Linked DNA regions of Rattus norvegicus. The protein of the gene in region 4 interacts with the protein of the main gene of each other region in a biochemical or structural test. Links are inferred from orthologs where the notes say so. Each region holds a gene or a part of one and is shown on either strand. Other genes may lie near its edges.

Region 1 (4,006 bases), on a different chromosome or scaffold from region 4:
TACACACACACACACACACACACACACACACTTTTTAAAATGTTTAACTATTTGTAAAAACTATAACTCTGGTTGGGTGTCGGATGCCTCTGCAGGTAAAGGTACCTGCTGCCAAGCCTACAAACCTGAGTTCAAGTCAAGGGACCTATGTGGTGGACAGACAACTGACTCCCTCAAGCTGTCCTCTGACTCTGCCATAAGCACATTGCCTGTCCACCCACCCCCCACATACACACACACACACAAACAAAAATGTAATAATCTTTTTTAAAAAATAGAACTTTAGACTGATGATATAACTCAGTGGTTTATGAGAAGCCATGGATCTGACCCCAAAACTGAGGGAAGGAAAGAGTCAGGAAGGGGAAAGAGAAGAGAGGGGTGAGGAAGGGAGGAAGGAGATTATGGAAGGGAGACTTTTACTTTGCTACTTTAGTAATCTGCAGACAACTTTCTTCCTGTGCTAGGACAGATGGTTCAGTGGTTAAGAGCTCTAGCAGAGGATCTCCGTTCTGTTCCCAGAACCCACACCACATGCTGTGCGCTTCTATGTAGGCAAAACACTCAAACGCATAAAATAAAAATAAACTCTTAAAAGACTGAAATCTAGACGAAAGATATTACTAGTGTCTAAACAGTAAAAATATGTTCAAAGTCGTATTTTAAGATCAGCACAGGCAGAACACATTTGTGAACACCCAGGCAGAAAACCCAGCTAGGGCAAGTGAGCAGTTCAGAAGCGGAAATTTAAACAATATATAAGAATAGGAAGGGAAGGTTTTTTTGTTTTTTGTTTTTTTTTTTTTAAAGAAAACGACTACAAAAAAATAGGACACTGTTAAAGGTTTATGTCTGGGTTACTGAAAGCATGTTACAGAATGTATCACCAAAGAAAGACAGCGCATGCATCAGTTTTGCAGAGAAGACTTTTTAAAGATTTATTTATTTTATGTACATAAGTACACTGTTGCTATCTTCAGACACACCAGAAGAGGGCATCGGATCCCATTACAGATGGTTGTGAGCCACCATGTGGTTGCTGGGAGTTGAACGCAGGACCTTTGGAAGAGGAGTCAGTGCTCTTAACCACTGAGCCATCTCTGCAGCCCCAGGGAAGACTTTTAAGTTTTATTTCTCAGACAGATTAAAGTGAGAATCATCCGGGCCTGTCAAACTTTCTTCAAACTGTTGGATTTGTTAAATGTTCAGTAATTTCTAATTTTAAGTTTCCTTCAATTTTACTTAACAGTGAAATAATCATTGGTTTTCTGGCATTGAAACCATGCATTCTTCCAAATACTACCAAGGTGAATTCATTTTTTTTTTCCAAGTTTTCCTGAAAAGGAATTTATTTACAACAATAATCACATCAAGCCTTGAACTCTAAAACTAAGTTCTCAAATTATGAAAGTCAGCAGCATAAACTATCACTCAGTGTTTAATAAAAGCAATACATTGATATGCCAACTTGTTTACATAGGATCTGTAAGGCTTGGAAAACCAAAACAAAAAATGCTTGACAGGGAGGCAAGTCTTTTCAAAGTTAATGTTCATACATACAGCTGAGACATCAACACAATGCATGCTTAAGTTATTCTAGCCAATTCCTACAGAAGCTCTTCCCAGAGAAAACATCCAATGTGAGCATGATGAAAAAAGTACTAATCAGCCAATGCATATGCTTTGACTTACTATCACGATGCGGAGAGAAGGTCTACTTAAAAACAAGACTGAAAATTATCAAACCAAACTGTCTTCTTGGACTCTCTGTTCATGTGGTGACGTCGCTAAAGGCTGAAAGCTTGCAACTGATTTCCAGGGTGCTTAAGAAATCGTTAAGGCTGATTGATCATCAAGCTATCAAAGTAACTCTTTTGAAAATGAACACTTCTTGCAAAACTTTACCCGTTTTGGGCTGAACACTGATCTCACTGCTCCCCACCCAAGATGGGGGTCAGGAAGTTTTCTTCATCTCGTTCTTTCCTAACTCCTATGGATTCTTACCTAACTAAAGGGCAGTATTGTCTTTGGGTGATTTCAGCTCCGCTCGACATTAACCAAGCGATAATGTTAAGATGATGTTACGGTCCTCAACCCTGAACAAAAAACCAGCTTCCTTCCAACCCAGCTGTTAACAGACTGAACCGAACTAGTGCGGAAACCCGTACGAAAACCAACCCAATGGGCTGTTTTTCCTGGACCTACCCCACCTCAACAGCCACCCCAGACAACCCCATCTCTCCTGCTCTGGAACGGGAGGGGGAGGGGAGGGCGCGCCCGAGGATGTCCCCCCTCACGGCTTCCTCCGGTTGGCGGCTGGAGGTGAGAGCGCCCTTCCTGCCTGCCAGCCCGCGTCCCTACCGTCCCGGCCTCGGACACACCACAGACCGCGACAGGGCTTTCTGAGAACCGCCGAGACAGCGCGCCGCACACTTGCCTGCTCGGCTCCCCGAGCAGGGCTCGTAGCTCAGGCCAGAGGCCGCGCGGGGTCACCGGGCGGCACCGCGGACACCGGAGCTCCGCCGAGCGGCCTCCCCGCCCCCTCCGCTCCGCTCCGCCGCCAGCAGACGGCGCCCCCGGGCTAACTTCGCCGGGGAAGAGGAAGCGACCAGAGACTAGCAGGCAGCGCGGACAGACTAGGAGACCGAAAGGACGGTGCGTGTGTCCGCACGCGGGCAAGGCCATCTCACCTTCCCTCCGCCGAGCCCGCGGCTCCAGTCACCTGAGGACTGCACCGGGACGCCACCGCGGCTGGCCGGATGCCGTTACCGCACGAGGCCTGTGCTGCGCCGCCGCGTAGCTCTCAGAGAGGGGCGGGGCGCGCGCAACCGGTGGGCGGACCGTTGCGGGCAGGAAACCCGCTCCACACCTAACCTAATAGGCTCCTTCGCCTCCGGCGCCCGCCCCTGATTCGTCAGAGGAATGAGCCGCTCCCTGATTGGGCGAACGGGCTTGTCACTCAAGCGCGGCGCTCACTGTTCAGTGAGCTGAGGCTGCGCAGCGTTTGGACAGGAGAAGTTGAGGTTCGCTGGGCCCCACTGCCTTTTTCTCCCCCAGCTTCCTCGGTAGCTGGTTACTCTCCGCCTCTCCAAGCCCTACTAAAACCTGTCATTATAATCGCTCATTAATGTCGAACAGTGGTCCCGAGTTCAACCCAAACTACTCTGGTTCCTGCTTCTGAAAGGGCCGACCACCTACAGATCTTAGGGACAGAGAGCGACAAAGAAAAATCAAGCCTCGGAGAAAATGTAAAATGTTTGTTAACTAAAACCACAACCAAAATAAGCTGTGTGAGGAACTTCCGAGTGCCCTGGCGCGTGGGTAGCCTTCACTCTCCGCTTCCAGTTCTGTGAAAAGCACTGTTACCTTTGCCCTTGGGTTGAGCGTGGCAGTGGCACAGCCCCAGCCACCCGCTAAGCCATTAAGAAATCGATTCTCCTTCCCAATTAGCCCTACAGCCACCAATAACCTGCCTCACTATTTCCGAACACCCTTGCTACTTAGTATAGCTGTGGCACCTAAAAGCAGCACTCTAGGTTAGGTAACTTTATTGAAACACGGGTTTTGCCTCCGGCGTAGCTGCACCCATATACCTAGATTGCAAAGTCTATTACAAGAGGAACTGTGTCAGCACCCACCCACCCTCACTCCATGCCTAGCACAACATCATCGTCAATAATCGAGGAATTAATACATCTTCCTTTCCCCTTTTATTCATTTTTATTTTTTGTGTGTTCGAGTGTTTGGTGTACATGTGTACTTGTGTATCATGTGCGTGCCTGCTACCCCTGGAGGCCAAAAGAGGATATAGGATCCGCAGAAAAAAAGTTACAGATGGTTTTGAACTACCCTGTGGGTGCTGGGAATGAAACTGGGGTCCCTTGGAAAACTGGCGCTCTTAGTCACTGAACCACCTCTCCACCCCTTCCTTCCGCTGTAATACAGGTCCTACCGGTAAGTCCTAAAAAGTTACTTCTCTGCCTTTAACCTAGTTGCATGTTAATAG
Region 2 (4,017 bases), on a different chromosome or scaffold from region 4:
GTCAGGACAACTCTGAGGTGTTCCTTCTCTTATCCAACCCCGGGATTGAGGATCAAACAAGACCCTCAAGCTGGCAAAGCTGTGCTTTTGCCTACTGAGCCACTCTGCGGGATCTCAGAGCACTCAGATGGCAGAAGCAAGAATTCTCCTGAGTTCAAAGCCAGCCTAGTTTATATGGTTGCAGACCAGCTAGGGCTGCAGAGTGAAACCCTGTTTCAAAACAAAAGAATGGAGTTCCCTATGTGCACCCCAGGGATTCCAAAGCAAATAAACAAAGAATACCAAAATTATACAATAGTCAGTTCTCAGGTCACACTGTCTAGTTCAAATTCTGGTTTATATGCTAAATGTTACAGGTTACTGGATTTCTAGTTCTTCTCCCCACCTCCAAATGAAAATGTTTTAATAAATGGAGATTGCAGAATTTCACTCATTGGATTGTTTTACTGATGGTGAATTATATAAGGCACATTTAGCAAAGCATGTAGCATACAATAGTCAGTCAATAAGTGTAAACTATTAAAATTATATATGTCTCTCTAAAACTCAAGTAATTCCTGTGTGGCTTCAAAAGAAAAACAGTTTAATGGATGGCAGAACAGCGATTAAGTGACCATCATAAAGACAGCAAGTGAATTGAGTGTCCTACAGAGAAAATGGGGAACACGACAGAACAAATTGCCACAAAGCCAATGAACTTTCCACACCTAACCCACAAACTGGCAATCTTCTCCTCTCCTAGGCCAAACACCTATTTTGAAAAGGTGGAGCTACCGAGATATAAAACCACAAGCCTGCCTGATGCTAGTCCCACATTTTCAAACAAGGAGAAAACTGAGGACCGAGTCCCTCACCCCCAGCTATTGGGAATAAAACCTAGCCTCCCCAAATGTCAGGCAAATAAACTACCACTCAACTATATCCCTAGTCACACCCCCTAACATAACTTTTTATTTTGAGGCAGAATCTTGCTAAGTTTCCCAGATGACCTGGAACTTGTAAAATCTTGCCTCAGCCTCCTAGGTGCTGGGATTAAAAGCATGAATTATGAAACTTGGCTGAGAATTGAATTTCAACAATAACATTTCATCTTACTACTGCCCTTAACACAAAACAACAGATTATTTTACAGATAGCACAAAAATAGAATTTACTATGTTTAGGGCAATTGTGTTGTATCTGATTTTATATTATTAAACCAACAGACACAAAAAGACTAAGAAGACTTCAGTACTCAAATTTTCCCCTTACTTGTGTGCCAACACCAAGAACTGTTTATCCCACCTCTACCTCCTCATTTGTGGCCAAAGGGAGTAAGTCTAAATTAGGATGATCCTAAAAGGAGGTCTACTAAACGGCTAACCAGGGAGTCTCCATTCATGAGATTAGCTCAGCTCTAGGAGGAACAAGCTTGCACTTCAAACATCCAGAAAGCAAGAAGCTTGGTGCCAACACACAGAGACAACAGTAATCTCAGAATCACTGTGCATCTCACAAACTTCAAGGACGAAGTGCATGAATTTCCTTAACATTGCCAAGACAACTGCAATAATACAGCTGAGACAATTACAACTCAATGGTCCTCGATGAGGAAAACACAGCGGGATAATTATTCTTGGTGTATCTGCCAGCTAGGTCTGCTCTCATATCCTGGAAGATTTTGACCACAGCACCAACTTAGCAAGAAAAGACCCAGAAGTACGTTGACTGACACTGTTTAAGCCCAGGAAGAATGAAATTCCATTCACTTCCAAGGTTGTTCTCCCTGGCCTATGCTTGGTTTATTTCCTAAAGGAAAAAAAAAACCTTCCTCCACTAATCACTTTGAAACTAGAAACTCTACGTGCAGCGGGCAGTCTTTTGGACACTTAAAACCTCTTGGACACAATTTGCCAGCTAGGCTTCAATTACGCTGGGCTGGTCACAGAAAGCTTTTTTTCTATTACCAAGTCACTTAGTTCACCACCTTCCACAAGGGAAGAGCACGGTAAAAAGATTTTGGAAAAATGCCCAAGAAAGGAAAAAGCTGACCGGCTTCCTGAGGGTGTCTCCATCCCTCCCAGCCAGCCAAGTACGTGGTGACTTCCTACCGAAGGCCACCAGGGGAGTATGGCCAAACCCAGCTCTAACACTGCAGGAAACGTTTCAAGCCTAAAAGCCACTTGTAGGATTAGCAGATCCATTCTGGGCATCTCTGCCAAATGATGTCCCCGCAACATCCCCATTAACTCTTTGTCCCCAAGTTGCCTGGCCCTGCCCTGCCCTGCCCTTGGGCCTGACCCTGGCGCCCAGCCCCACCCCGGGGCCGCAGCAGTTCCCCTTCCCCGGCTCCCAAGGCACACCCAGAGGCCTCGGTGAGCAGCTCCTCCTCCCCCACAATCCCGCTCATCGGTGGGAACCAGCTTGGTCAGAAGGCAGCTCCCCCGCCAGGTTCACTCCAGCCCTCTCTGCCCACGTCCCTCCTGCAGCCGACCAGGGTTCTAGGGCCTTCACCCCCGCCCGGGCCTCCCGCCCGTCTGTCCCTCACCCGGCGGAGGCTGAGCGGGCGACGGAGGCACTGGAGGGCGCGGGCCGCTGCTGTTGATGATGTAGTGGGAGACGCGCGAGTTTTCGGAGACGCTGAGCACATAGTCCCCGGGGCTGGTGCTCGAGTCCCGCACCAGGAAAACCCCGTGCCGCTGGCCCTGCAATAGCGCCACCGCCTCCTGCCGGCTCAAGCGGCCCCAGTACCAGCTACTCCGCTCCTCCGAGTCGAAGTTGCCTGCCATGGCCGCCTCCGCGCCTTCACGCTGGGCCGCCGCCGGCACGCGCGCCCCTCCAGCCCTGGCGCCCGCCGCCCAGCGGACCGGCTCCGGTGTAAGCCTCCCAGCAGCGCCCGAAATGGCGGCGGCAGCCGCGGGCCTTCCCCACCGGAAATGACGCGCTCTCTACCCGAGGGAGGCTGCCGGGAAGGGGACCGCCGCCCGCCATTGGGAGAAGGGAAACGGAGTCCTTGGGGCCCGCAGTGCGCATGCGTCCTCATGGGCGTCGCCGCCCGGTCCAGAACCCCAACGGCGGAGGATGGGGAGGCGGAGTCTAGGTTTAAGGGGCGGAGCCTCAATCTTCAGACTGACTGGTGTTTGACTAACTGGTGTTTGACAGATTGGTAGAGGCGGTCTTTCTCCCAGGACCTACAGGTAGCAGCTCCAGTAAAAGGACTGGAGTAAAAAAGATGATGTGGTCCCAGGATGCCCTCAAAGCTCCCTAACAAGCTGGTCTTTCCCGGTGTTTCCTTCGGTTTCCCCGGAGGTCAGTCGAAGTTCTTGCTATCTAGGAGTAGCCATAGATAACACATTTGCCTTGCAGGTGCAGTACTGACCTAGACTGAGCCTTAAGTCACCGAATTCACAGACCAGTGGGAGGGATCAGGAAACCATTAATGTCTGCTGTGATGGGAAACAGAGACACAAGGAAATCAACTAAGTAATCCTAGAGGAATCCAAGGGCCGGGTAAAGTGACTATGACAGTAATCCCAACCCTTAGGAAACTGAGACAGGAGGATCACTGTGTTTCAGGCCCTATATTATAAAACGAAAGCAAATAAGAACAAGGAGTCCACAGATGAGATGGTGTAGGTTGAATGGTTCGGTGTTGAATGGCAAGTGGGGAAGGGTACTTAAGGCAAAGAAAACAAAATGTCCAGCCAGGCAAAGCAATGGAGTTCTCTCTATGGGAGCTCCCATGTCAACCAGCCAGATCCTTTTAAACTCTCATTTGTAGCCAGAGGAATCTCCTAGTTTCACTTCCTTCATGATCATCATCTATCTCAAAAAAAATTTTTAATGAAAAAATACTGGGGAGTGGGGTGTTCAGGATAGGGTTTCTCTGATAGCTCTTGCTCTCCTGGAACTCACTTTATAGAGCAGGCTGACCTTGAACTCAAAGATCCACCTGCCTCTGCCTCCCCAGTGCTGGGATCAAAGGTATGCACCACCTCTGCCTAGCCACTACTACTGCGTTTTGTATATAGTGAGACC
Region 3 (3,942 bases), on a different chromosome or scaffold from region 4:
CTGGTAGTGCCACCATCACTGGTCTGGGACATGCCTTCCTGTTCATCTAATTTGGGAATGCTGTGACCAATAATCCAGCATCAGTTTTTTGTAGATTTTTCACAATGGTCATTCGTTTAACAATTTTCTGATCATTCAAGACTAGATGTGGTTTTAAGGCGGGCAAAATAAGACAGTATTCCTGTTGTAATAAAATTTCATCCTGTCCTGTTAGTGGTGGCTCACATCTTTAATTCAAGCACAGGGAAGGCAGAGCCCAGTAGATGTGAATTTGAAGCCAGCCTGGTTTATAGTTAGTTCCTGGATAGCCAGGGGCACACAGAGAATTCCTATCTTGATTGGTTGATAGATAAATAAATAAATAAATAAATAAAGAAAGAAAGAAAGAAAGAAAGAAAGAAAGAAAGATAGATAGATAGAGAGATCGGTCCTAGTGTTGTTGGAGAGAGAAAACATGTTGGGAAGGCACAGCTGGAACGGCTGAATGGCAGGAAATGAACTTTTGGAGAGAGACCAAAGGTCTGGAGCAGGCAAAACCTGCAAGCCAGATACAAGTGTTGCATTTCTCTTGCTACATCTCAGAGCCTGAAGTGGCCAAGTCACCATCATCACACTGTCCTCGTCTTAAAGCATTAGTCAAACTGACCTTCACCATCATTCCACGTGTACCAAGTAGGATCACTTAGGGTAGGCGTTATTCAGTAACCTATTTGATGGTCAACTCACTGCCTAGGTCATGCCCTTCCTAAGCCACCTGACTTATCAGGGCCTTCAGGCTTAAAAATCACCTGAGGGCCACGCCTCCCTGTCCAGACATCCAGCCATCACGCTATGCTTTGTTCCCAGAAACAGGTTTTCAAAACGCTGTTCCCTCTCGGGTCCAGTTGTTTTCCTGCTAAGCCCGGTAGGCCTTACAGCAGCAGCCACTCAGAGGCTGCTTTGCGATCCAGGAAGGGCTTGACCCTCTGCCTCCTCCCGGAACGCGGGAGCCCGCACGAGTGGCTTAGGCTGGAACCCTCGCGAACGCACTCCTGATTGGCCGCGCCCAGTGACGTCAAAGGAAGAGCCCCTGCGGTGGGGGTAGCGCCCAGCTCCGCGCAAGCGCAGATAGAGTACGCTGGACCAAGGGGGAGGTGCCCGGTCGCTTCTCCCGCGTCCGCCATTTTGTTGCTGTGGCTATTGGGAACGGGTAGGGTAGGACGGTCCGGGAGGCGCGACTGTTGTTGGAGTGCGGTGCTTCGTGTGACGGCGAGGAACCGTGCGGGCTCTTGAGGCTGCGGAGCCGGCGGCTTCCAGGACAGAAGTCGCTGGATCCTACTCCGGACAGCTGAGAAGCCCGAGGCGGCCTCTGCTACTGCTCTGTTTCGCCCACCTCGACCCAGGGGTTTTGCCCACTGTTCCCGGACCGGCTCTCTCCGAGAGGCGGCCCTGTGCAGGAGGGCGGTGGCGGAGGATGCTGCGGGGCCCGGAGCCTAGAGGAACGTCCTGACCAAGCCCTCTGATTGTTCCTCGAAGTGTTCGAGAAGAGGCCCTTCCTCGACCCCAAAGCCGACAGCGGGTAAAGGCTTCCAGAGCAAGCGAGAGCAGCAGACGCCGCCCATCCCCGGGCCCAACACCATGTCCTCCGCCAGGTTTGATTCTTCAGACCGTTCTGCCTGGTACATGGGGCCAGTGTCTCGCCAGGAGGCGCAGACCCGTCTCCAGGGCCAGCGCCATGGCATGTTCCTAGTCCGGGACTCATCTACCTGCCCTGGGGACTATGTACTGTCCGTGTCCGAGAACTCGCGTGTCTCGCACTACATCATCAACTCCCTGCCCAACCGCCGCTTTAAGATCGGGGACCAGGAGTTTGACCATTTGCCGGCCTTGCTGGAGTTCTACAAGATCCACTACCTGGATACTACCACCTTAATCGAACCAGCGCCCAGGTAGGCGAGCTCCTGCCCTTTTCGGGCTCGGAACCTGACCTGCGGAGGGTCGGTCAAAGATTGAAATTTGGGGGTGGGGGTAAGGGATACTCCCTTTTCTCATTCTGAACCAGAAGACATTCGGATTGGAAGGCCAATGTCAGGATCTGGGTTGGATGAAAGGATGCATTTTATTTAGACATTTAGTAGTGCTTGCATTGTTTAAATCACCACCACCCCCAAGCCCACACATACATAGTTTTGTCACTTTAGTTGACTGTAATACTAGTGCAAAATTCTTATTAACGACGTTAAAATATATAGACTATCTTGAGTTTCTGAAGATAGCCATGACTACTACTTTCTCGAAATTCATGTACACCATTTAAGGTTTTTGTAGCTCCTGCATCTGTCAGCTAACTGGCCTTCAGCCTTTGGAATAATCCTTAAAATAGATCGAAAGGGTAGAAATCTCAGAATCTGATGCTGTAGCACTTAAAAAAACAAAAAACCAAAAAACTGGAATTACCAAGGAAAGAGATTGAGGTTTTATTTGAGGGAATTTGTATCATCACTGTTCCTTCCGCAGGGTGCAAAGTGTATTTACCTTCATTCTACATTAATTCTGTTTTTTTGGGGTTTTTTTGTAATTAAGTCTAGTTGTTTAACATATACTTTAAAGACACCCAAGTAGCGCTAGACGGGAGAGATACACGCCCCTAATCCTCTAAGGAAAGAGGACCTTGATTCCAAGCCAAACTGAGCTGTAGCAAGACCCTGCCTTAAAGAAAAAGACACTGATCCCCAAGTGTTCTCTTTTTCAATTAAAATGCATTATTTTATAATTTGCTTTAATTTTCCTAATAATATCATCAAATGATACAAGTGTTAATTGAAAACATATCTAGACACTTTAAAAGATATTTTACTGCCCCGTTTATTTCTAAGCTATTCTAAGAAAGAATTGAGGACTGATTTAGATTTAAGGTGAGGTGACTTCATAGAGGTGAAATTTGCTCAGGACTTTGAAATTGAAAAGATAGTATAATTAATTAAAGGCACCTACTTAAATCCAGAGTTTCTTCTTGAGGATAGAAGAATAAGCTGGGATGGTACAGTGAATGTATGTACGGTTAACGGCCAAACTCTGGATTTTAGAGTGTGGAGAAGGGCTAAGTGGTGATGAGGAGGGAAAGTGTGGTCCCCAGACCCACGCAAGCGTGGAAGGAGAGAGCTGAGTCACAGAGCTGTCCCTTAGCCCGGTATGCGCATCATGGCAAGCGAGTATCCTCACACAAGTACGTTTTAAAAATGTGAACACAGAAAGGTGATTGTAAAGAGTAATGCTAGCAAGAGGAGGACACTCAAGTTCTGTGAAACATGAAGTTCCTAGGCGATGCTGGAAGGTGTAAGAGCTTGGAGAAACCTAGGAAGGATAATGTTGGGTGATACAGCTAAGTAAATTACTCTCTTATTTGTGGAAGTGGATTATATTATTGACTTCGGGCCTTTATTAAAACATGCTTGCAGCATGTGACAGGTATTGGAGAAAGTCTAAGTTATTAGAGTCACCTCAAAGAGGGGAATGAATACTGCAGTGGCTTCCTGCTATTTACAGATCTTACTCTACTTCATGTGTCTCTCAGGTACCAAATGTAATTTCCTGAGTTTTTCCTTAGCTCTACTTGACATGCATTCCTATCTTTTCTGTCTTGCTTAATTTCCAAATGAAAGAAATAACCAAGTCATAATTATTCCAAATTTGATATAACTGTCCCTTGTATAGCTGCAAATTGTACATTTTAAATTTTAGAACAGATGGCAGTGTACCTTGAGGGATACTCTTTTAGTATCTCAACTTAAATGTAATAATTACTGATATTCTCCTTTTTTTTTTTTTTTTTTGGTTCTTTTTTTCGGAGCTGGGGACCGAACCCAGGGCCTTGTGCTTCCTAGGCAAGCGCTCTACCACTGAGCTAAATCCCCAACCCCCTGATATTCTCCTAATTGATCTTATGTTGTATGGTAAAGAAAT
Region 4 (2,477 bases):
CAAAGCGGGGCCGCAGGGAGGGGGTTCCGGCTGCAGGGAAGGGGCAGGGCTGCAGGAGTGGGCGGGGCTTCAGGAAAGGGGCGTGGCTTCAGAAAAGGAAACGCTCGTGAGAAGGGGCTGCAAGACAAGGTGGGGCTACAGGTTAAGGCACCAGGGAAGGGGAAGGGCAGAGTGGCTGGGTAGGATGTGTGGTCTTCCTTGACCGGTCATAACTGGGTGGAGCGTATGTGCCAGGCAGGGGACCTGAGGGGTGCTAAGTGAACAGAGCCAGACAGTTAGTTCTTAAGCCCCTGCTTCTCTCACAGAGCACAAGGGACCAGTGCAGGTGATCCAAGTAAAGGAAGACATGGTGATGGTGTTGATGGATGGTAAGAGCCTTCCTCTCTTCCCTTCCTGGTCCTCAACCCAGGTCTTTGTGCACAAAACCTTCCTTCCACTTCCTTCCAGGCTCTCTGAAGCTAGTGACCCCGGAGGGGGCACCAGCTCCCGGGCTTCGCACCCCTGAGATCCCCATGACAGAAGCGGTCGAGGCTGTGGGTATGTGTTGGATGGGAGGGCCCAGGGTCAAGGGTGGGCGCTCTGTGACCTCAGTCAGGGTCACAGGCAACTGCTTCCTCTTTAGCAATGGTTGGAGATCGACTCCAGGCCTTCTGGAAGCACGGAGTTCAGGTGTGGGCTCCAGACTCGGAACAGGTAGGCTCTCAGTTCACACCACTCCCTTGTCCTCAACCTCAACCTTCTCATCCTTTGAATGGGCTTGGAGAAGCCCTGTGTCAGAACAGAGACTCCTGTTGGGATGTCTCAAGGCACACATTGTCACCTAAGTGGAAACTGGCTCACCTCACAGAGCACTCTACGGGCTTCCCTGGTTCCTGACTTACTCTTTACAGTACAGTTGCCTATCAGATAGGGCGCCGTTTAAGCCACATGCTCAAAGTCACCCAGCTTCTGGAGTTAGACTTACCCCGAGGAAGTCATGTTTGTAGGGAGAGGGGAGGTCCTACTTCTCAGTATGGACACAAACACACTTTCTCCACAGCCGCTGCAGGAGCTGAGAGATCCCACCCTCACCTTCCGTCTGCTCTGCTCCCCGAGGTATGGCGGTGGAGGGATGAATGGGGAATAGAGAGGCTGGCGGTGCGGAGTGAGGTTTCCGTGGCCTAGAAAACCCTTCCATGTTCTCTCACTGGGTTCCCTCCCGAGGCTCCGGCTCCACGGTGACTCTCGGGAGCCTTGGCTGCCCTCAGAAGAAGCCCCTGCACTCTGCTTCCCTGCACGCCTTTAGTTTACCATTCAGGTGGGGTGTGAACTCCCCAAGGCTCCCCACTGCTGTTGCTATGAGATAGCCTATGTAGCCCTGGTTGGTCTCCAATCCCCTCTTCTCTTTTTCCACATTGGGGTTTGGGGGGCATGTGGCACGGAGGGCACCTGGAGATCAGAGGACACCTTTAGGAGGGGACGCTCTCTTTCTACCATGTGGGTCACAGAGATTGAACTTAGGTCATTATATTTGGTGACAATCACCTTTGCCTGTTGAGCCACCTTGCCAGCCCTCTTTTTTTTTTTTCTTTTCTTTTCTGAGACAGGGTTTTATAGCTCAGGCTAACCTCAGATTCCCTATGTAGCTGAGGATGACCCTGGCCTCCAGATCTGCCTGCTTCAGCCTCCCAGTTGTTGGGATTGTAGGCATATGTCACCAAGTCATTGTCAGAGCCCGCATTGGGATGGGGCAGTTTCTGTTAACTACTCTGAGAATGAACGAGTGAATGACTTGACCTTCGTCTTCTTCAGGCCTGTAGTGGTGGAAACACGGCCCACGGATGACCCTACCGCCCCCAGCAACCTCTACATCCAGGAATGAACCATTGAGAGGGCATTGAGAAACGGACACCTGCAGACCCTAAGGGACACACTAGTGGTCACAACATGTCCTTATCTCCCAATAAACTTGACTTTAGTCTTGTCATCTTGAAATTCTTGGGGGAGAGATTTCTGGATGCCTAGCCCCCCTCCCACCCGCCCCCCCCAGATTTAAATGACCCCACACAATGAGGCTGGGGGTGTAGCAGAGGCTTTATTGGTCTAGTTCAGGATCACCTGTCCCCAGCTGCCTGGGGAGGAGCTTGCAGTGGGAGAAGGCACTTGAGGTGGGGGAGGGCCAGCTGCAGACCTCAGCCAAGCTGGTCCTCATACTGCTTTCGGAAACAGTCTCCAGCAGGGAAGAAGTCCCAGCACCTCTCCTGGTACATCTTCCAGACATATGACTCCTAGGGTTGAGAGGATAAGGGGCTCTTGGTCACATCTTCACATGCCTCAAAGGATTCTCTGCTGCCTGCTGATCGTCCTCTCTGAAGACTAGTGTCCTCTCTGAAGACTAGTTTGCTGGGTACATGAGGGTAACTAGAGAACAGCCTGCCGGAATAGCTTGAGCCATGTCCCCTACTGGTCCCTCATTAGCACCTCTTACCTGACCGGTG

What was found.
Region 1: the proteins of Map4k1 (region 4) and Nck1 form a complex in vitro, tested with the Homo sapiens proteins (2 studies listed by BioGRID, with this or other methods). The link is inferred for Rattus norvegicus from reciprocal best matches to the Homo sapiens genes MAP4K1 and NCK1.
Region 2: the proteins of Map4k1 (region 4) and Crk form a complex in vitro, tested with the Homo sapiens proteins (2 studies listed by BioGRID). The link is inferred for Rattus norvegicus from reciprocal best matches to the Homo sapiens genes MAP4K1 and CRK.
Region 3: the proteins of Map4k1 (region 4) and Crkl form a complex in vitro, tested with the Homo sapiens proteins (2 studies listed by BioGRID). The link is inferred for Rattus norvegicus from reciprocal best matches to the Homo sapiens genes MAP4K1 and CRKL.

What each region holds. Positions count from the first base shown.
Region 1 is NC_086026.1:109,955,441-109,959,446, forward strand, and holds the start of Nck1 (cytoplasmic protein NCK1), read right to left. Parts: upstream 2,808-4,006; 5' UTR 2,691-2,807; intron 2,648-2,690; exon of another isoform or gene 1,693-2,647; intron 1-1,692. UniProt on the Homo sapiens protein: Adapter protein which associates with tyrosine-phosphorylated growth factor receptors, such as KDR and PDGFRB, or their cellular substrates. Maintains low levels of EIF2S1 phosphorylation by promoting its dephosphorylation by PP1.
Region 2 is NC_086028.1:61,027,707-61,031,723, reverse strand, and holds the start of Crk (adapter molecule crk), read right to left. Parts: upstream 2,808-4,017; 5' UTR 2,769-2,807; coding exon 2,528-2,768; intron 1-2,527. UniProt on the Homo sapiens protein: Involved in cell branching and adhesion mediated by BCAR1-CRK-RAPGEF1 signaling and activation of RAP1.
Region 3 is NC_086029.1:97,064,651-97,068,592, reverse strand, and holds the start of Crkl (crk-like protein), read left to right. Parts: upstream 1-1,135; 5' UTR 1,136-1,617; coding exon 1,618-1,928; intron 1,929-3,942. UniProt on the Homo sapiens protein: May mediate the transduction of intracellular signals.
Region 4 is NC_086019.1:93,418,023-93,420,499, forward strand, and holds the end of Map4k1 (mitogen-activated protein kinase kinase kinase kinase 1), read left to right. Parts: intron 1-305; coding exon 306-368; intron 369-447; coding exon 448-537; intron 538-622; coding exon 623-693; intron 694-1,039; coding exon 1,040-1,095; intron 1,096-1,791; coding exon 1,792-1,861; 3' UTR 1,862-1,971; downstream 1,972-2,477. Other genes in the region: Ryr1 (ryanodine receptor 1), read right to left, coding at 2,172-2,267, 2,468-2,477. UniProt on the Homo sapiens protein: Serine/threonine-protein kinase, which plays a role in the response to environmental stress. Appears to act upstream of the JUN N-terminal pathway.